Arabidopsis thaliana: one gene and its partners. The protein of the gene in region 3 interacts with the protein of the main gene of each other region in a pairwise test. Each region holds a gene or a part of one and is shown on either strand. Other genes may lie near its edges.

The links. Proteins that work in one complex are often made in the same cells at the same time.
Region 1: the proteins of MAF5 (region 3) and AT3G16160 interact in a two-hybrid assay, tested with the Arabidopsis thaliana proteins (one large-scale study listed by BioGRID).
Region 2: the proteins of MAF5 (region 3) and AT1G48150 interact in a two-hybrid assay, tested with the Arabidopsis thaliana proteins (one large-scale study listed by BioGRID).

The regions. Positions count from the first base shown.
Region 1 is NC_003074.8:5,472,866-5,479,097, forward strand, and holds AT3G16160 (Tesmin/TSO1-like CXC domain-containing protein), read right to left. Parts: upstream 2,483-6,232; 5' UTR 2,226-2,482; coding exon 2,089-2,225; intron 1,982-2,088; coding exon 1,886-1,981; intron 1,749-1,885; coding exon 1,580-1,748; intron 1,473-1,579; coding exon 1,242-1,472; intron 1,155-1,241; coding exon 1,057-1,154; intron 968-1,056; coding exon 864-967; intron 773-863; coding exon 501-772; downstream 1-500. Other genes in the region: ASPGB1 (N-terminal nucleophile aminohydrolases (Ntn hydrolases) superfamily protein), read left to right, coding at 1-168; AAE13 (AMP-dependent synthetase and ligase family protein), read left to right, coding at 3,188-3,359, 3,605-3,774, 3,888-4,073, 4,395-4,566, 4,693-4,778, 4,904-5,026, 5,139-5,246, 5,633-5,731 and 2 more. UniProt on the Arabidopsis thaliana protein: Plays a role in development of both male and female reproductive tissues.
Region 2 is NC_003070.9:17,781,673-17,786,868, reverse strand, and holds AT1G48150 (MADS-box transcription factor family protein), read right to left. Parts: upstream 1,473-5,196; coding exon 501-1,472; downstream 1-500. Other genes in the region: AT1G48160 (signal recognition particle 19 kDa protein, putative / SRP19), read left to right, coding at 1-90; AT1G48145 (plant mobile domain protein), read left to right, coding at 1,956-2,003, 2,057-2,362; DPMS3 (dolichol-phosphate mannosyltransferase-like protein), read right to left, coding at 2,955-3,014, 3,161-3,268, 3,366-3,467.
Region 3 is NC_003076.8:25,994,206-26,004,574, reverse strand, and holds MAF5 (K-box region/MADS-box transcription factor family protein), read right to left. Parts: upstream 6,982-10,369; 5' UTR 6,926-6,981; coding exon 6,720-6,925; intron 4,309-6,719; coding exon of another isoform or gene 4,251-4,308; intron 3,765-4,250; coding exon 3,648-3,764; intron 3,554-3,647; coding exon 3,454-3,553; intron 3,332-3,453; coding exon 3,290-3,331; intron 2,988-3,289; coding exon 2,946-2,987; intron 2,472-2,945; coding exon 2,364-2,471; 3' UTR 2,245-2,363; downstream 1-2,244. Other genes in the region: BST1 (DNAse I-like superfamily protein), read right to left, coding at 71-148, 239-293; MAF4 (K-box region and MADS-box transcription factor family protein), read right to left, coding at 8,645-8,749, 8,859-8,909, 9,109-9,150, 9,278-9,377, 9,467-9,528, 10,085-10,142.

The DNA.
Region 1 (6,232 bases), on a different chromosome or scaffold from region 3:
CTCCAAGAAGCGGTTGATTACGTCATCAAGCATCGACTTGACGAAGGGTTCGCTGGACTCATTGCTGTCTCGAATAAAGGAGAGGTGGTTTGTGGTTTTAACTCTAATGGGATGTTCAGGGGATGTGCAACTGAGGATGGATTCATGGAGGTTGCTATTTGGGAGTGAGAAATATTTTAGATTAAGAAAATGTCTTACTAGTATTTAATCAGTCATCGCTCTATTAATTTGGTTATTCATTATCATAAAGCTGGAGGAGTAAATTTAGTTATGTCGTTATCACCAGTCCTATATTGATTTGTGTTTAATGCGGTTTCAAATGGTTAGTTCGTGTTTAAAATTGTTGATCTGTCTCAGCTCCATGCCTAATCAAGAAACTATGGTTCAGCTCTCTGTTTCTTGTATGAACCTTACCTGTCATAAATAGCAACAAAAAAGTGCAGTAATTGGATTTATTTGAGGATGGAGGGATTATCAAAATGAGATGGAATTATTACCTGTTATGATTCCAGTCTCGATTTGATGAACTTTTGGAGACAGTCTCTGAAAGTTTCAAGCACTGCCCTTTCCTGCTCCATGTATATATCTGTTTCATTGACACTTGTCTTGGTCTTACATTGGGAATCCTCTTCTCCATTGTATTGAACATCTATCAGTTCGATCAATCTTCCACGTGATTGTATTTCTTCTTCCACATTACGACTCTCAGACTCACTTGACAGCTCAATGGCTTCCTTATCATCAGGCTTTGTAAATATCCTGTTCTGGTCCTCTAAGTGAGATTTTAAAGGAAGTATGTTGATGAAGCCAAAGGAATAGTAGATCCAGTAAAGTGTAGATTTTGTAAGAGACTACAGATATACCTGCAGTTGTTGTAGCAGATTCTGACGCTGCAACGAGAAGTGAGCATAAATCTCCCAAGTCCGGAAGAAGTGTAGAGGTGTATCCCATGAGGGACCTTTTCTTTCTAGTAGCACAATGAAAATTCAGTTAAAATATTTATGATTATGAGGTGAAGGAAGATGAACTATCATTTTAGGAAATGCAAAATCGAACCTGTAAGGAAGTTTAGGAGAGCAAGACATAGGGGAACCCAGAGCATTTTGAATGGAATTGTCAGGTATCGAAAATAACGGAGCTGGACAAGAATTCCACTGCTATTCCGGACAGAAAAATGAGTTTTATGGAGATAAACCCAAAAGTGCATATATGTTATGAAGCAAGTAGTATATTTCACTTGCCTCAGTTAGCTCTCGGTCTCTTCTCCTCCGGTATACTTGTGGGGAATTGTGAGCAGAAAATGCAGGAGGCTGGAACGCTTCACTAACATTCTTGCAGTTGATGCATTTACAGTTGTCTGAGCACAGAAGATTAGCCTGAAAGCACTCACAGTACTTCTTCAAACACCTGGTTCTTTTACATTTGCAGCCTCTCGAAAGCAGTCCAGGTTTAGTATCAGGTGCAGCCTTACACTACAATACAAAACACAGAACATCCCAGATACTTACAAATGAAAAAGGATGTGAAATATACCTCTTTGAAGCTTAACCTACAAAAGTGATAGGTGTCAAGAACATACCTGATTATCAGTTAGGCTACCTAAAGCCTTTTCACTGAAGGCATTTGGGTTGCGACCTAGTACATTCACCATAGCTGCTTCTCTAGCATCACATTTCTCAGAGTTGTTATGACAATCAACACAATCACAGTCTGTACATACCACTCCTGATGCAAAACAGTCACAGTACCTAATAACCAAGCGTCAAACAAATATCCAATAATGCATCAATCTACAGCAGATAATAGAAATCTCACTATTCAACATTATACTCAAATCTCTATCAGCTTAACACTAAGTAATTCTTGGATCCTGAAATGAACTTACAACTTTAAACATTTGGACTGCTTGCATCGACATCCTTTGTGTTTCCTCGAAGTAATGCCTTCTTCATCTGTCTTATCCTTTGCTTCTGAATGCTCTCTGCTTCAAAATCAAGACCAGTGGAGATCAGAGAGTAGATTTTGGATTGAAATTACTCAAACGAGAAGCATCTCTAGTGAAAATTGGCAGAGAAACTGGAACAATACCGAGAAATCGGAGGAAAAAGAGGAAGTTCTTTAACAGGAGATTCTCGGAAGACGGGAGATACCTCCAATTTGGTGAAAACGAGCTTCCTAGGGTCTTTCTCTGTCGCGATTTTGCCGGAATCTGCGTTTCCTGTCATATCGGTCCTTGACACATTATAGTCGCCACACAAGTTAGTTCCTCAATTTGGCGAACCGATTAGAGCATGAACGGTGAGGAATCCTCAGAGAAGCGTCGATTCATAGATCAGATCAGATCAGTGTATCGGAGAGTCGCCATGGCTGACAGATATCAGAACAAAAATGGAATGCTGGATCCTAATTCGGAACGATGAATGATTGTCTCTCTCTCGATTTTTTTTTTGGCCAGCTCCAAGGGGTTTTCTAAGAAACAAAAAGGTTCTGTGAACAACGCGAAGGTATTCAAAAGCGAGAGAGAGTGATCTTGGAGGGAATGATGATGTGTTGATGACGAAGATGGAGTTGGATTAAAGAAATCTAATTTCATGATTAATAATTTAATATAACAAAATTAGTCTTCTCCAATGCTCAAACCGGAGACCTAAGATGTACACTCCCTTTAAAAGGTACTGATAAAAAAAAAGTTATTAATTGCATGTTGGCATTAAATAGAATCTTCCTCTAGAGTTCAAAACTTCACAATAATAAAATCAATGCATATCAAAGCATATGTATAAGATGTTAGCTAACCACAATTGTTATTCATCAACGGTCAGGATCACATCACTCAAAATGCAATATTCAGATGGTCTTTAATTTTGTGTAAATATACTTAGAAAGAAATTCACAACACAAATAAATGAGAAAAAGCAAATCAGTAATTAACCTTAAAAAAATGCCTAATAAAGCGTCATTAAAGAATAACCCATTATCGCCTGTCACTCACTTTTAATCATCAAAACACGCCACGTGCCAAACTCTCCACTGAATCAAAGTCGCCAAACGCTTCAGTCGCTATTTCATGATCGACACGAAGGCTCTCTTTTGGCGATTGCAACCACCACCTAAGAAGAACGGCTACGTAATTTGACTGTACGACTTGCGAAAAAAGTCGAAACCTTTTAACGAACCAGACCTAAAAATGACCGCTACGACAACATTAAAGAGTTTCAACTACTTGTCTTTAATTAACCATCGACTCAACCACAACTCCTACGCTATTCTCTCCTCTCCTCTTCTTCCTCGATCCCACCCAGCTTCTACTTCGTTTTCCAATTCTGGGTTTCGATTCTTCCAATCTAACCATCTCTTCTGTAAGTTTTCTTCTTTACCTTTGTTTGGTTTTTGCATGTTACATGTTCGACGAAATGTCTTAAAGATTCGTGCTTTCCATATAGTAACATTGATGATCCGTAAAAACCTGAACAAGTTGTTGTTTTGATCTGAATTTATATTGAAAATTTTGCAGCATCTCCAAGGAACTCAATCTGTTCTTTTTTTGTACATGTAGTTTCTATATATTAATCTGAATTTTATCTATGTAATCAAAATGTTGCAGCTTCACAGTCTGGTTCACTCATGGAAGTGTTTAAAGCAGCTTTTTCAGAAGCGTCTAATTCTTGTGATAGGATTGCGATTAAAGCCGATGGAAAGAGTTACTCTTATGGCCAGCTAACATCGTCTGCTTTGAGGATATCTAAATTGTTCTTAAAAGATGATACGACAAATGTATGGTTTTTGGTTTGAAATTGTAGCTACTATATCTACTACTTGAAGCTATCACACAGTTTGTTTACAGCTTTATGGTTATTGACTTTTTTTGTCTTCTATAAATTTCGTAGGGAGGTCAAGAAACTAAGAAGTATGAAGGGTTTGGTAGTCTAAAAGGAGCTAGAATCGGAATTGTGGCAAAACCTTCAGCTGAGTTTGTTGCAGGAGTCCTGGGGACATGGTTTAGCGGTGGTGTAGCGGTTCCACTTGCACTCAGCTATCCTGAGGCTGAACTCTTACATGTCATGAATGATTCGGTATGGAATCTACTTGCCTTCCTATTTCCTTGTGCTTTAATTTCGGCTCAATTGTTAGGTATTCTTGATCTTATTTTTGTGATCTCAGAATTTTGATCCAAGCTCTTGGTTTTTCTAGCATTAGGTCTTTTTCCATAGACTAAAAAGGGTACTCTGTAGAACAAAGTAGAAAATATTCTAAAAGGCAGAAGTTTTCTGGTTTGCTCTGTTTTCTACCACATTCAAGTTTCACAAAATAAGTGTGCCTTATGCTCTTTTTACTCTCGAGAAAAAATGATTAACATTTTCTTGGGATCTAACCTCGTTGTCTTCGGTTTCTAGGATATATCTCTGTTATTGAGCACAGAGGACCATAGTGAAACTATGAAAACCATCGCAGCAAAGAGTGGTGCTCGATTTCATCTTATTCCTCCTGTTGTTAACTCAACTTCGGAAACTGTTGCTTGCAATCAGTTTCAGGATGACAGTTTTGAAGCAGAAGGAAAGTTTCTAGGTAAGTTTTTGAATATACTTGAGATGGTGAACTTATAATGAAGGCTGCTCTTTTAATTTTTGCCACCTTACCTCAAGCAATTATTGGTCTGGATTTTCTGCATCACTTCAGCCTTTATTTGTGCAGATGATCCAGCATTGATCGTCTACACTAGTGGTACAACTGGTAAGCCAAAAGGAGTTGTTCATACTCACAACAGCATCAATTCCCAGGTATATATCCGACCTCCTTATGTAGCGCATGTCATGTTTCAAATCTACCCAACCTGCAATAGAATGGTCTGCATGTATCTAAATTATGATGTACCTTATAAGCTAGAAGCTTGTATATGTTGCAGGTTAGAATGCTCACTGAAGCTTGGGAGTACACATCTGCTGATCATTTTCTCCACTGCCTCCCACTACATCATGTTCATGGGCTTTTCAACGCTTTATTTGCTCCTCTTTACGCACGGTCTTTGGTAACTTATACTATTGAGATTTGCTTTGGCTAGCTCTTTCAAAATACATTACCTTCGGAAAACATCAGGCTAGTTTTAGGTTTTTAATTGATTTTCACATTCCTTTTTCAAGGTGGAGTTTTTGCCCAAATTTAGTGTTAGTGGAATCTGGCGTAGATGGCGTGAATCATATCCGGTGAATGATGAAAAAACCAACGACTCCATAACTGTATTTACTGGAGTAAGTCTTATTTTTTGTTACTTGTATTCCAGACAAATAATACTAGTTTATGCTTAGCTGTCCCTGCCTCAAGTTAATTGTTTGATTTCTTGTTGCATAATCCTTTTCTTAAGCCTGATATAGCAAGCTTATTAATTGTTTCTAGTGTTAGTTAGTATTTGAATTGAGGGAAGTATTCACTATTCAATGTGAGTTTACTCAATTTTACTATGTAACAAAATGATAGTCTTGGCTGAGTTGATCAGTTTCCAGTTTGCTTCTTGCGCTCTAGATATATAAACAAACATGCTTTGCTTTAGAGAAATTTAGCCTGAGATGAGAAATAGAAAGAAACAGCGAGAGATTTAGCTATTTTTAATTGGTAAAGTTATTGTTGCGATACACAGGTTCCAACCATGTACACTCGGTTGATACAAGGTTATGAAGCAATGGATAAAGAGATGCAGGACTCGAGCGCTTTTGCTGCACGGAAGCTTCGCCTAATGGTAAGCAACCAAATATCTCCTAGAAGAGCCAATCCAGCTTAATGTTTATCATTATCTGCCTAGATAGCTATGCTATTTTCATATTCTGATGAAACTAGTGCTTAAATGTTAGCCAATGAAATACATTTTCAGATGTCTGGCTCCTCTGCTCTCCCTCGACCTGTCATGCATCAATGGGAAAGTATCACAGGTCATCGTCTTTTGGAAAGATATGGCATGACTGAGGTAAGTAGATTTTCCTGTCTCTTTGAGTTACCATAATCAATACCTTAGAACAAGCTTAACACAAGCTTGTTCTTAGTAGTTACATCTACTGAATTAAAAAAAAATCTTCAATATTCCCAGTTTGTAATGGCAATGTCAAACCCCTTACGGGGTGCACGAAATGCAGGTACTGTCGGCAAACCGCTTCCTGGTGTGGAGGTCAGTGACATCTTCTTTCTCTTTCGTCCTCACTCAATACCTTTTAACTAATGCTACACAGATTAAGTACTAGTAATA
Region 2 (5,196 bases), on a different chromosome or scaffold from region 3:
CAGAAAGCGAAGAAGCAGGAACCTCAGGCCACAACTTCAACCTCTGGAACTTCTTCAAAGTCAGGCAAAGGTGGCAAGAAGAAGAGATAAAACAAGCCAAGCCCTCCCTCTCTCTCATCAGATTTTATGGCTTTTAATCTCTTTAACTTTCTGAGAAGAACACAAAGGTGTTTGCAGGTGTAACAATGTTTCAAATAGAACATCGTCTCTTTCAACCCTAAGCTACTTTGTTTTCACCATTCTACTTCTTCTTTTTGGCATCATCCATTGACATTAGACAAGAAAGAATGCCTAAAAAGGGAACATAAAGATATTGTAATTCACCACAATTAGTCTCACTAACCACAGCCATAACCAAAATCGAAATTACAGAATCAAAAGAGTTGAGATAAAACAGATATCTATAGATCGTTACACACAACAACATAAATGGTAATTACCTAATGAACTAACTAAAACCGTAATTAACTATGAGATCGTGCTTAATCAAGCTGTGAGAACTAACTAAAACATGGGCATTCCATTGCTTCTTCGCTTAAGTATTCACTTATGTCGATCAATAACTCGTCGTCTTCGTTGGTTGAGGAATGATCTTGAAGAGGAACCTCAAGATTGTTGTCGTCCTTAAAAAGACCAAACACGTCGTCGACATCTAGGTTTTCCCAAAAGCTCTGATCCTCCTCTGTGAACATCGGTTGTGTTTGTGTTTCTTGGGGAAGACGCATTCCGTTATTCTCTTCCTCTGTTTCACATAAGAGGCCGTCAACAAATCCAGAATCTTCATTCACCAAGTAACGAGATTGATCAGATGATGACTCGCTGCCAACAGAGAAAACAGGGTTTTGATCAAAACAAGTAGTAACTTGTGACGAAGGCTCAAGTGAGGAGTAAGAGTTCTGATCAAAAGAAACAATTTTTAAGGAAGACGGAGACAAGGTACTAGGGTTTTGACCAAAATCAGAAGCAATTTGAGAAGACGAAGAAGAAGACCCACTGTCGTTGTTAGGGTTTTGATCGGATTTAGAAACAGAGTGTGATTTTTCTTTCTTCTCAAGATAATCCATGAGATGCTTCTTCGTTCTCATCAAACGATCTTCGATGATTCTTAACTCAGACAGATCGTCACAATCACGGTAAAGATCGGGCTCTTCCCACCAAAACTTGGCTGATTCAGGGTTAATAGTAGTCTTGGGAGGAGACTTGTTGTTGAGGTAACAGTCAACAATTTCAGAGGCATGAGAGTAGCCCGAGAATGAATAAACGACATCGGAGTTCTCGTCAGGAGAAGTTACAAAAACGGCTATGTTGGCTCCGGAGAGAAGGCAAAGATCAGCCGCTTTGGAGAAGAGTGTGGGACGGCGTTTGCTGCAAGCGACGGATCGTTGTTGTTTAGTCATGCGTTTCTCAATTTCAATCTTTCTTTTTGTTCCTCTTTTCCTCATTGTGCAATCAGTTACGTTCGACGACTGCATTATTAGGGTTTGTTTTGTGTCTTACAGAGAGAGATAATGGAATCGAGAGAAAAAGAGAGAGTGAAAAGAGAGTAGAGGCAAAGCACAAATATATAGAGATTAGATAATACTAATGTCGGTATTATCATGTGACTCGGTCAAACTTAATTTTTTTAATTTTTACCAAACAAACATTTTCATTAAGATCATCAAGATTATTGCATCTAATCACAACTGTTATCATCAAATATCAACACAAACACTATAAATTCAGAATCAGATTATGCATGAGAGAAGAGAAAAGAAGAAGAAAAACAGGATCGTACTTGGAGAGTAATACAACACAAGCACCCACATCCTCCTTAACCAAAACAACAACAACAATATCAGACAAACAACCATAAACAGTAAGAAGAAAAGATCAAACACAAAAAAAAAGCTCCAACAAAGTTGTTGAAGGGTCAGCAGAGGAGAGCTCAAGCTCGAACCAAAGTGTTTGATGTAATGAAGCAGAGAAGGAAGATGCTGATGGAAGGATCAATGCATGAGAAGGTGCTAGCATTAAAGGCAGACAACAACAAAAAAAATCTAGCCCTCATAAAAAGTTTGCTTCTGGATGCACGAATGGAGATGAAACAAGAAAAGCATATAAGCATAAGGTTCTGAAGTCATCTGATGAGTCAAACATTCACATCGCTGTAGGGGATGGAAATGAGGGACAGGATTGTTGTTTGCTTCATGATGATAGCATCAGAAGTGAAGAAACTATGAAATCCAATGAGCAGTACTCTGAAAAGGGAAACAATGATTTTGGTGAAGGTGATGTTGATAACAATGACAAGACTGATAAGAGATTTCAAGAGCTGAATGTGCTAGCATTGTCGATAGAGGAGCGTATTCTTAAGGCATAAAGAACTGTGGCATGGTTGAACGAAAGGAGAGCCATAAACACACAGAAAAGCAGCTGGTTTGAATTAGGTGTTGTTGTGGACAGATAAAGAAAGGAGAAGGCAAATGCAAGTTGAATATCAAAGTCATATCTTTATGATCTTTTTGGTTCAGTGTCTTTTGATTTTCCTGCTTAGTATCTTTTAAAAACTGGTTTGGTTCCAAATGTTTCATTTGTATCTTTTGAAACCTACTCAGTTATGAGCGACTTAATACCTTCTTGGTGTGTTGCATATCAGAGTTTTCGTACAGAGGATAGCCTGATTCAATCTGTTGATGCGATCTCTTTTGCATACCTGGAGAACTTACTAGACACAAAGGCCAAAGCTTTATGGTAATTCACCACAAGAAAATGTAAATGCTTCTATTGTTACTAATAAGTTTCTGCAATTTGGAATATTTGTTATACTTTTGCGATTACTTTTGGATGCATACGAAGCTTTTGCGTTTTACCTCAGTGACACTGTTAAATTCAAAAATTCCAAACAGTACAGTTAAGTCTTTTGTCAATAACGAAAAATATCTCTGATGAATGGTCTGATAAAAGCCTTTGTGTCAATTCGATCCAACATCTACCCCTTTGTGCTTGAAGAAGTCCTTAGCCTCTGCAATATCCTGCAACCAAAGAAACAGATAAAAGACACTAAATTAGCAAAAATATTGAAGGATGTCAACATTAGATAACACGAATCCGTATAGAGCAGGATGAAAAATAAGAACAAGGCCGACTATGGCAAACAAAGAGCTAGTCTCAAAAGTACCTTCTGCAGCAGAACTGCTTCTTGGGGGCAAGTAGGAAACTGCATGAGCCCGACTCCAACCATTAATAGGCCATAGCATCCGAGGGATACAACAAAGTAGATCGGTAGCTGTAAGACAGACCGGCAATAATACCAAATCAGAACAGAATCCTAATTTCAAAAAAGCAAGAAACCAAAAAAGAGGACAAAATTGTTTGTTACTCACCAACCATGTATGGCTTCGAGGAATAATTGCAGCCTGCAAAAGACCAATCCAGAAGGCAGAGATAGCCACCAACAGGCTCAAGATCTTTACTATATGCTTCATTTGTCCTTTAAAGTAAAAAATTATGTAAAAGAGTTTAAGTTAGCTGCGAATAGAAATGCATAGACGATCACAGCATTCTCCAAGAAGTTGTAGAGCATGTAAAAGAAATCACTCAGCGAGCCTAATAAACAAAATCTAGTAAATCAATGAACTATTCACAATTTCGTAGTTGTCATGATCAACACATATATTCCTCAAGAGCAATATTAACATCCCATTTACCCCACCAAAATTGATCACAAGCTCAAACCATAAGAAATATACCAATAATAGCTATCAGTTGTAACTAGATGGAGTCTCAACAAAGCAAATGGATTTTCATGTTTCAGTGTGTAATGTTCACTAACACAAAGACGCGCACATAATTTCCAAACATCAAAGTAAAACTAGAATCTAGCACAATCTGAACAGCTCAGTAACCCAGTTTATACAACTCAAACCATCATGCTATATCCAGATCAATCCGTACTTTTTCGACAATGACCTCTGACTGGGATAAACAAAATAAGAAATTGAAAATTATCTGACTCCGAAATATTGTAACATCAAAAAAAAACAATTTCCAATTCCTGAGATGATCAAGTCCGAACTGAAGCTACAGAACCGATACAAAATCAATGAGTTCCAACAGTTCCTCAGACCAAACGTCAAGAACTCAAAGTCTCAGACCATACGAAACTTAATCCTAAGAATTGTGTTAGCTTCCAAGAATCCAAATTCACAAATGCTGATCATGTAACATCAGAGGAGGTAAGAAAAACAATCACAGGAACCAAAGCAATAGCAAAAAAAATCCCTTACATTCAGGCAAGAAGCATTTAAAAAACAAGAATTCTAAAGAACCTGAGCTGCTTAAACAGGATTTGAATCGAAAGCATCTGAATCGAACCGTGTAACAAAAAACAGGATTCCAATTTCATATCGCTACCACTGATGACTGATCAGTAACCATAGAAACATTTCTAGACGAAATTTTTATATGGTTCCTTAAAACTACATAGTTCTATCACCAAAAACCGAAAACAGTAGCACAAAAGTTTCCTAGAATCATCTGAAAGCTTATACTAAATTAGCTAAATAGTACACCAGAACAAACACAAGGTAAATCACCAAATCAAGATAAAACCATGGCAAAGAAATATAAATTCCCAACAAAACCGATCCGAAAGGAGATGTTCCTCCAAAAAATTATCGTAAATCGATACAACACACAAAATAAAGAGGAGGAATCGATTATACTCACAGTTAATCGATGAGATCGTGATCGTCTAAGCGATAAAATCAGTTATAGAAGATTAATCTGGGTGTGGAGGTCACAAGTACTCGCCGTCGACGACGATGAATCGACGATATAACAACCGGTGAATACGGGGAACTCGTGAATATGCGAATTCACTTATACACTAAAACGATGCCGTATAGTCCCCACTTATGTTCCTCCGGTCTAAATGTCATTAATCCACATTTTGGTTCACGCTATATCGGTTTGATGCGGTTTCATATCGGTTTCATTCGGTTTGATGCGATATTCCCCTTTTGTCACTTTTAAGTTCGGTTTTAAAGTCACTTTTCCATACAGATGAGAGTATTAGCATTTTCATAAGCTCAATACGTTTTTCAAATATATCAACTTTTACATTTGATTCGGTTTCAATTCTTGATCAAAAGCAAGGATTGAAGAATTCGGTTCTCTATTCCAATCCGACTAGTAAATAAATCGTCGTACTAA
Region 3 (10,369 bases):
TAGGTTACCCAAAAAATCAAATTATTCTCAACCCCACATAGAAAAAATCATCACAAAATGATCAATTTACCAGAAACAGTCTTCCAAATCATTGGAGAAGTGTTGTCAAGAACCGATTTCTTTCGAGACGTCATTCGTCGCTCAAAATCTATAACAAAAAAACATGATTCAAAATCAAATCGAATGATTTTGTTTTGATTTTCTTGTGACGTACGTAAATCGTTTAAGAAGAAATTACCATTGAAAACTCCATAGTGGTGGTCTAGGTCATCATTATTTCCTCTATTGTTCATATTATTTGTAGCATCTTCTTCTTATTCTTCTTCTTCTTTACCACATCGTCTTGATCCGAAAATATTAGGAAGAATTGACTAAAAACAGAAAATGTCCCACAAAACACCAAATGAAAAAATCTAAATTAATTCAGTTTAATTAATGGGTTTCACGTCGTGACATATTCGAAGAGAATCAAAATTAAAAAAATTGAAGGAGGAAGAGAGAGAGAACCTTCTTGATCTTCTTCTCGCTTTGGAGGCTGTTCTCTGAGTCGCTATCTTTATTGGAACTCATTCATCAAAATTTACTAATCAGAAAATTAAAAACAAAAAAAAAAAACAAAGTGGAAACATTAATTTAGGGTGTTAATACCTTCGAAATCGTGCGGAGAAGGACATTTGTTTAATTTAATTCTTGAATCTAGGGTTTGATTTTTTCACGACTATTGAGTATTATTGACATGAGTAAAAATGACAATTTCATTTTATTGATTAATTAAATACGATTACTTAATTAATTACCAGAAGAGGAAGTTAATGATTTCTTGTATACTAGTCCGTTCGAAAAGATCAGTTTTTGGCGCCAGCTCCTTCGGAAGTTTTTAACAACACCATACAATTATTATTATTTTGGATGAAATGTTTAACTGATTTATCATGCTATACAATATTTACAAGAGTTTATGTTTAAAACATTGACAAAAGAGACTCAAAAATAGTAAAGAGCTAAAAAATAATAAAAACTTGCTATTAAACAGAGCTTCACGTGCCTCTGTTTCTACTCATCTTCTTCTTTTTTTTTTTTTTTAAACATCTTATGATTTGTGTAAACATTAATTAGAGATTATTAAATTTTGTGTTCTTTTGTTGGATCGTTAAGTTTTTACGTTACAAATCCATCAATCAATAAAGTTAGAGGAAGCACACAAAAGTTAGCCATTTAAATTTAAATTAAATTATATAAGTAAGATTTAGTATTGATGATTTAATCTAATTATGTTAGTTTTATACTAATTGTTAAGATTTATTGACGATTATTACAATTATTTTTTTATATGCAGTAATTATGAAGATCTGATTTTTTTTCCCTTTAAATAAAAGATGTAAAGATCTAAATTAATGAATCATATTTGTCATTTGTACTAACTACTAAGTAAGAAAAGCTTTCTCCTCCAAGAAGATTTTAATGAATTTCTTCTTTTCACTGAACAAACTGATAAATAAGATTGGAATAATCGACATATTTAGTAAGCATAAAATACGAAACCATTTTACTCGAATTTATATCTATTATCAAGGTAGAATTTGAATTTTTTTATACTGAGGCACTTTTTTAAAAAAAGGAAAAGAATTTGAATATTTTATTTATACGATAGTTGCCAACATAATTCCAGAATCTTTGTTTTTTTTCTTTCGGGTAATACATTTTCCATAATCTTTTATATCCTAAATTTATGCATATTAGCCTTAGAGAGTTCCGAGGAGACAACCAGTGTTACGATGGGGCCGGAAATCTCTAAATGGGCCGCAAACTATTTCTCAATCTGGACTCTGTGCAATTACACCATGACACCTAATATAGTTATTTGCAGGCTTTCCGCCTACAATTTTTTTTGGATCAGACATTTATTAGAGTTACTTTTGTTTTTATTTTAAACAGAGTTAATGTGATCTCAATCCGATTTTTATGTTCAAATTAAACAGCAAAATTCATTACTAAGGTACAAAGTAACTTTGCCACGAAGGTAAAGTAACACAAGTAGCGCGATTAAATAACAAAATTACTAATTTTGGCCTCAAGGTTCTTCACGCTGAAGAAAGCAAAACTTTTATAAACTCATCACCTTCCCTTTTTTTCAGATAAGAACACACAAAACATTCGAAACTTCTGATCCTGTCTTCCAAGGTAACACAAAGGTCGATATCTTATTTGAGGGAAAACATTATATTTTTGGTCTATAAATTTATCCGTATGCAGGGGGAGAAGAGGATTTTAAAACATGTAGCTTCTTTATGATTTTTACACATGAATTTTTTTTACCTTTTTTGAATCAGGATGATGAAAAATCAGCCGTTGATGATTGGTGGTTACTTGAGAAGCGGGAGAGTCTCCGGTGGGCTGTGGCCAGAGCTATTTTCCGGTGACATTACTGCTCTTTCATCCCCTGTTTCCAAAATTTTCTTCAGCTTCCCCACCTGTAAGAAAATTTCTTTTCATTTTTTATAGGTAAACAACAAAATACTTAATATAACAGCAAGATCTAGACTTTTAAAGCATGGTAATTTGTTTTTCAGTTCTTAAAATGATCTTTTCATGTGTTAGAAACTTTCTTACACTTCTTTTTCTACATATATTAACTAAAATATAACATGAAACATAGAGTTTAAGAGCATGATTGTCTTTTTTTGTTGCAAATTTAAAATATAATTGTGGGTTTCACCAGAAAGTGTGTAGTAGCCATTAGAGAGTCCCTTAACTTTCATCTGTAAGCTTTTTAAACATGTTCTTTTGAAGTATGTATTAATTAAAAAGCAGGTTTCTTTAACTTTCATACGTATGTATAGTATATGCAAGTGCATACGTATCTATCTCTATCTAATGTCTATCTATACGACGTGTAAAATGATTAAATTAGTTTCTTTACGCTTAAGAGATTGTGCCTCTGTTACCTCGCTAGCTAGAACCTTGTTCTTTTCTTTCAGCAACTTCTCCTATTTGAGGACAAACAAACGTCATAAAGGTATATTAGTTTCCAACAAGTTCTAAAAATCCTCGTCACAATTCGGTAATTCACCAGGGAGAAACTTGAATTTGATCAAAACTTTAAAACCTTTTTAATTTCAGTTTCATTTAAATTAAACCAAAAATTATATATCAAGAACTAAGACAAGACCAAAAAAAGACATATCTAGAGAGCTAAACTTGGTCTAGTGTTCTGCATACTCCTAGCTTAAGAGGATTTAAGAATCAACCTTCAATGGCCGGGATAGTGGATAAAAACTAAGGTACTGACCTTATCCTGAAGGTTCTTCACAAGCTCCATCAATAACTCTGTCTGCAACAAGACATTGAGGATTGTGTCAAATTGGAAACATGGTCCAAAGTCAGGCAAGATCCGAAATCTGTACTTGGAAAACGAATTAGATAGAAGCAATCACTTAGTAGCAGCATATATACCTTCCTAGCTCTAATTACAGACAGAGCACTCTTGAGCTGCTCTTCCATGGAAATTAGAGATTCTATACTTACATTATCCCCTTTTGCTTCTTCAATCTTTCTGCATATATATTCAACAAAATAAAAAGAGTATATATATATATATATATATATATATATATATTTATCAGACGAAGAGGGGAAAGGATCTTAACCTTTGAACTATTTCTAGTAACTCCTTGTGTGAAAGATAATCCTGAGTTTTGTCTTCAAGATCCTGCCATGAAAGAAAGATTGTAAAATTCTTGCGTTTCCAAGAGACGTAAACGACTCTAACCCTCGAGAATTAAGTTTGTTTGGTATACGACAAGTTTAGAACCTTGTCGTAAACCTTCTAATGCATTACTGGCAGTGAAGAACTCTACGCCGATCCCTCACCACAATGTTAAGACACTACACAAAGCATCCACATAAAGACAATCTTAACGGACTAGTCGAGCTAAGCTTCTAAATGCTCATCTCAATTATATATGCCTTGGACGGTTTTTGAGACCAATGAGTGTATATATGGATGACAAGATATAGTTTCTAAGGTTCTAACCCTCAAGACCTAAATTTGGTTACAACCTTGTTGTACACTTTCTAGTGCAAATACCTCTATCACAGTCTCTCTCCACAATAATAGGGCCCTACATGAAGTATCAACATAACAACCATCTCAATGGACTATAACCTGAGCTTCTAAATGCTCATCTCAATCACATATGCATGTGTCCCCATGCCAGGGACTAGATTGCAAGGTTCTAAGAAGAACTTACCAAGGTTTCAGGATCATCAGCTTGTTGTATTTTAAAACGACTGATGATCTTGGCCATGCTGGAGAGAGATGAAGAGATAAACAAATAGGGATTAGAAATAATGTATACCAAAATATTTTGAAACTATGAAACAAATATCAATAAGAGAAAGTAACCTACTTCTATATATGTATAGGGTCAATTTGTGTTACTACACTGAGTCAATGGTTTTAGTAACCTTACTCAAGGTTTCTCTATTGAATTGTTAGTTGTTCCGCTTAAATAACAACACAAGGTTTGTTAAGCAATAGTAGTTTTTTGTATTTTTCTAACCATATATCCATATTATGTGATGGACTTTAGTTTTAATTTTCCAGGACACAATTTTCTCTTTCATTTTAATGTTAATGCATGTATATGGGTAAATTAAAAAATAAAATGCTTTAATTTCTAACTTTCCAATAACAACTTTAATCAACTCTGCAGCCTCTAATTTGTTTTAACTTAGAAAAGTTTGAGAGATATATGCATAAAATGAGCAATTTCTTCATATGAGTAATTAATTACCTCACTACTTTCTTATCACTATCAAAGCTAAATTAATGATCTAACTTTTTTTTTCAAACTATCAGCAGTCGAAAAAAGAATAACTGGATGGAGAGTTGAAAAAGATTCCTAAAAATGAAATTTCAATGAAATTCATGTTTGCAAGTGAAAATCTTCAGAAGTTGGTGAAATCATATTGACAATTCATATATGAAAAGCTATAACTACCCTCACAAAGTATTGAAGCACTCACAGAATAAGCCAAATTGGACAACTGAAAACAAAATCTTTGGCTATAAACTTTAACATTTTCACATTTTGAAATACTCCTTCAACAATAAGCCAAGAAAATGGGTTTAGCATTTCAGAGAAGGTGAAAAAAATGATAGGACTGAGCCCAATCAAGCCCAGAAAGACACACCACAAAAGCTAACTTAGCTTATGTATGATGGCGCCTTTAGGTCTTAAAAGGCATTATAGTTTGGTCTCCTCCTACCATATGTGATTTTTTTTTTTTTTATGGATACCAACATTTTGATCACAAATTCAATCCTACTTCGTGATGTCCGTGATCTATTGCAAGATTTCAGATAATAGAGTAAGTTTGGTTCATTTGATCAGCATGTTGTTAACTCCATCCTAAATGAGTTGTAAACTATGCAATTAGAAAGACACATAAGAACCACAATCTCAAGCGAAAACACTTCTGTATATTGCCACTAAATTAAAGTATCAAATTAAAGGAGCTACCAAGGAAACTAGCTACAACTGGATTTTAACTATTTTAAACCTTGAACCAAATAAAAAAAAGTTCTATTAGTAATATCTATAATTTGTGCATGGTAGTTGCCAAATTAACATTTCTGCTTGCATGATCAAGTATTAGTAGAGTTTCTATGAAGGCAATGGTAAGAACGTTTATATATATTGAGTTAGTGACAAGGACATCCCCATTTCTACATTATAGAGGGAAAAAAGCAAGTAACATGAATTGAACAAAATTGATATAGAGAGGGTCGGTACCTCTTTTTGGCCCATGAGACCCAATATCTCCAAAACGACTGACTAATTAAAATGCAATGCAAAAGAGAAGAGAAGGAAACAGTTCTAGGAGTGGAAGATAAAGCTACTTAATATGTAGACATGCATGCATCTTGCAAGTTGGTATATGCACACAAAAATTACAATTAAAGAGGGAGGAAATTGATGACATATTGGACTTGTAGCCTCGTGGTTTGTACTAATGATCACCGCTGTGTTATAATTCATGTTCAAATCTAGGAGTGGAAGTGTGTGAGTTATCGATGACAAATAAGGAAGACAACTCTATACTCATATCAAAGGAGTAATGAATCATATGTGAAAACTATGAATTAGAGTCTTCTTTATTATAGTTAATTATCCAAGAACTACTTTTGACCATCGAAATCAATAAAAAGAGAAACTTATAAATCATGTAGAGTTGTAACTAACCAAAAATATCAAAAACAAATGGCACTCGTTTCCACTAGATTCTTGATTTATACCCCAACAAATCCACCCAAGGTGCATTGAACTAGTGAGAGTAAAATGAGCCTAAATTAAACAATTTACATTGTTCTTATAAAACTCTAGTAGCAAGACAAAGTTAAGATGACTTGAAATCCTAATAAACAAACATGAATTACGGATTACCACCACGTGTAGAAAAATCTCTTGAAGTGCATGCAAGGAAAAAAAGAGTATAAAAACAACAAATCCCTGCAACAAATTGAAACAATAAAAAAATGGAAATTTAAGAAATCGAACACGAAGAGTACATCTTCCGCCACCACATTGTACAATCTTAAATTTGGCTAACACAAGAAGATTCGAAGGGGGCAAAAAAAACCCTAGTTTCTAAGTTTCGGAGAAGATGATGAACTAAAAAGAGAATCTACAAAGAGGAGTTAAAAAGAGTGAGACCTGTCGCCGGAGGAGGAGTTGTAGAGTTTGCCGGTGGAAGAGACGATGAAAAGAGCGACGGAGGATCCACAGAGAATTGAGAGTTGACGAGCTTTCTCCATGAGACCATTTCGTCTCTTACAGAAAGTGACTTGTCTACTGCTTTTGTTCTCAATTCGTTTGATCTCTACTCTTCTTCTTCCCATGGCTTCACTCTTCCGACACATCTAATCCCCTAATTTCTTCAATTCTGATGTCTGTATAAACTGGTCGGAGATCCTGAATTATTTTGCATTTTTATTTCTTCTTTTTTTTCCAGTTGTTTTCTAGCACAATCCATGAATTATTTTGTATGACTTAATCCCCAATTACTAAAAATATCAATGAACATATTTTAATTAAAACAAACAAAAAAACATTAAGACTTGCAAAAAAAAAAAACTAAACGGTGCGTTTAATCAAATCTAGACACGTATTAACGCATGCTGAATTCCCTGAGGGCGCGTTTATTTTTCTTCTCTGTGTCTTTTTTAAAATATCTTCGTTACTGAATAAAGACAAAACAGTGAGAAAAAGAAAAAAAAAACTCATTGCGTAATCTTAAACCTATAACAACATCATGTAAATCCGAATCTCTAAAAGGATTAGCCGAAGTGGGGATTTGGATTTGTACTAATGTGTCCTTGGCACATTCACCAGCCGCCCAGCTCAAGTCATTGCTCTGCCAACTCAAACTCAAACAACTCAAGGACGTTGATTGGATTTAGTTCATTCCACCGATACTAGTAATGACTAATGAGAATATATTGGGCTGTAGCAATACTAGTAATGAGCATGTATTGGGCTGTATGAGAAACCAAAACATTGGGCTGAGCCATGTAATGATTTTTCTTCTGATGCATTTTAATAGAAAGTTTTTGATCAAAGAAAAAGCCCAAACAAACTACTGCTCAAGTTATTCCAGCTCAGGTTACTGTAATACTGTTCATATTGTTTTTTATATGAAGAACTTTTTCCAAACAACAAAAAGTCTGTAAATTTAGCTTAGGGGAAGAAGAGTCATCCAATAATTTCATGTTAAAAAAGTCTGTAAATCCTCTTCTTCCCAAGTGTTTGAACCCCTACATAAAATAAATTCCTTTACTGTATGTGCAAATGTCTCTCTAGCTAGTAGTCGTAAAAGAAAAAGAAAAAAAAGAACTAGATAGGTAATTTGACAGTGTAAAACTCTAGAGAGAAATAAAAAATAAAAAAATTAGGAAGATCAACGGAAATTGCGTTGACTATGATTATTGATGTCAATCGCGTACCCTGAATTTATAAATTAAATTAAATTTTTCATTTTATCTATATATATATATATAGGAAAACTGGTATAATCTTTAGTTAAATGGGCCGAATCTGGGCTTAACAGTAACAGTTTTTTTTTGTGCAACCTGACAGCTAAGACAAGTCTTTTACCGGCTTTCCGCCTAAAATCATTTTTTCCTCCTTTTTTTGAAAAATCAGTTAAAAGAGTTCCGAGGAAAAAAAAAAACGAATTATCTGACATCACTCTGATATAAATTCTCCCAACAGCTAAGAAAAATGGTCTTAACTTTGCCACGAAGGTAAAGTAACAACTAGCAATTATTTATTTTTATTTTTTTTAATCATTTTGGTCTTAGGGTTCTTCACGCTGAAGAAAACAGAGCTTTTATAAACTCAAACAATTCCTATATTCAGACAAGAACACACAGAAAAGCACGAAAGTAAATACTATATCATCCTGTCTCCGAAGGTAACAATAAAAATCAATTACTTTATTTGATGCATCTCCTTGGATGACTTTTCCGTAGCAGGGGGAAGAAGAGGATTTTTAACATACAGTATGTAGCTTTCCTTATGAACTACAAATCATAATTTTTACAATTTTTATTTTTCGAATCAGTCGTTGGTGATGGTGGTTACTTGAGAAGCAGGAGAGTCTCCGGTGGCTTGTTGTCAGAGCTACTTTCCGGTGACATTGCTCTTGCATCCTCTGCTTCCACAGACTTCTTCATCTTCCCCATCTGTAAGAAATTTGTTTTACGTTTCTTTTTTTCTTCTATAGGTGATGATTCCCTATTAAATATTACTAAGAAGATATGAGCATGTTTTACTATCCATAAGAGATGGTACCTTTATAAGCTGGTTAGTCAAACTCTGGTTCTCCTCTCTCAGCAGCTTCTCCTGTTTGGACACCATCACAACTTTATTCAGTTTTTCTAAAACATCCTCATAGCATTATTTTCGGTGATTCAGCAGAGGGCAAGCGTCGATGACATATATAGAGATCTTAACTTGGTCTAGTGATCTCCAAACTCGGAGTTTCAGAGGATTCAAGAATCAGCATAGCTAGGGATGGCGAATAAAAACCAGAAATACTAACCTTCTCTTGATGGGTCTTCACAAGCTCCATCATTAGTTCTGTCTGTCACAAGACATTAAGAGTTAGGTCAAATCGGGGAAATGATCTGAAGTGCGAAACCCAAACACTGCTCTTGGACCAAATATTTTATGGACTAGGTGACTGAATATCTTAGTAGTAGCATATATACCTTCCTAGCTCTAGTTACAGACAGAGCAGTCTTGAGCTGCTCTTCCAGGGACTTTAGACAATCTATACTTACATTATCGCTTTTCGCTTCTTCAATCTTGCTGCATATATATTCATAGATAAACAACAGAAAAGGAAAACAACTTCTATAATCAGAGGAAAAGGGGGAAAAAGGAGTCTTAGTGCTAACCATTGGATTGTTTCTAGCAACTCCTTGTGCGAAAGATAATTAAGAGTTTTTTCTTCTAGATCCTGCCATGAAAGAAAGATTTTAAATTTCTTTTGTTTCCAGGAGACAAATGATTCTTAAGTTTGGTACACGACAAGTTTAAAACCTTGCCGTAGACTTTCTAGTGCATCACCGGTAGTGAAGAACGAAGTGCTTCTATGCCTATCTCTCTCCACAATGTTAAGAAACTACACAAAGCATCCACATAACAACCATCTCAATGGACTATTCTACCTAAGCTTCTAAATGTTCATCTCAGTTGCATATGCCTTAGACAACTTTGAGAATTGAGAGGAATGGGTGTATATATGAATGACAAGAGATGTTTCTAACACTCGAGAACTAAAAATAGGGTTAGACTGGAATACTACAAGTTTAGAACCACGTCGTGGACTTTCTAGTGCAATACCAACTGTAAAGAACAGAGTGATTCTATGCTGGTCTCTCTCCACAATGTTAAGGCACTAAAAACAGTATCAGCATAATAACCATCTCAATGGACTATAAGATATCTTCTAGATGCTCATCTTGATTACATATGCATGCGACCTGATATGCAAGGTTCTAATAAAAACTTACCAAGGTTTTAAGATCATCAGCCTGTTCTAATTCATAACGACTGAGGATCTTGGCCATGCTGGAGAGATCAAGAGAGAAACAAAAATGCATTAGAGGGACTTTTTGAAACTTCGAATCAAATACAACGTCAATAGAGACTCTTAGAGAAAAAGTAGGGATCTATATATATACATGCTATTATATAGGGCATTAATTCATGTTATAGCATCAATTTGGGTTAATTAACCTTGCTCAAGGCTTGTTTTATATAAATGTCAGTGTATATAGCTATAAAATAACACAAAA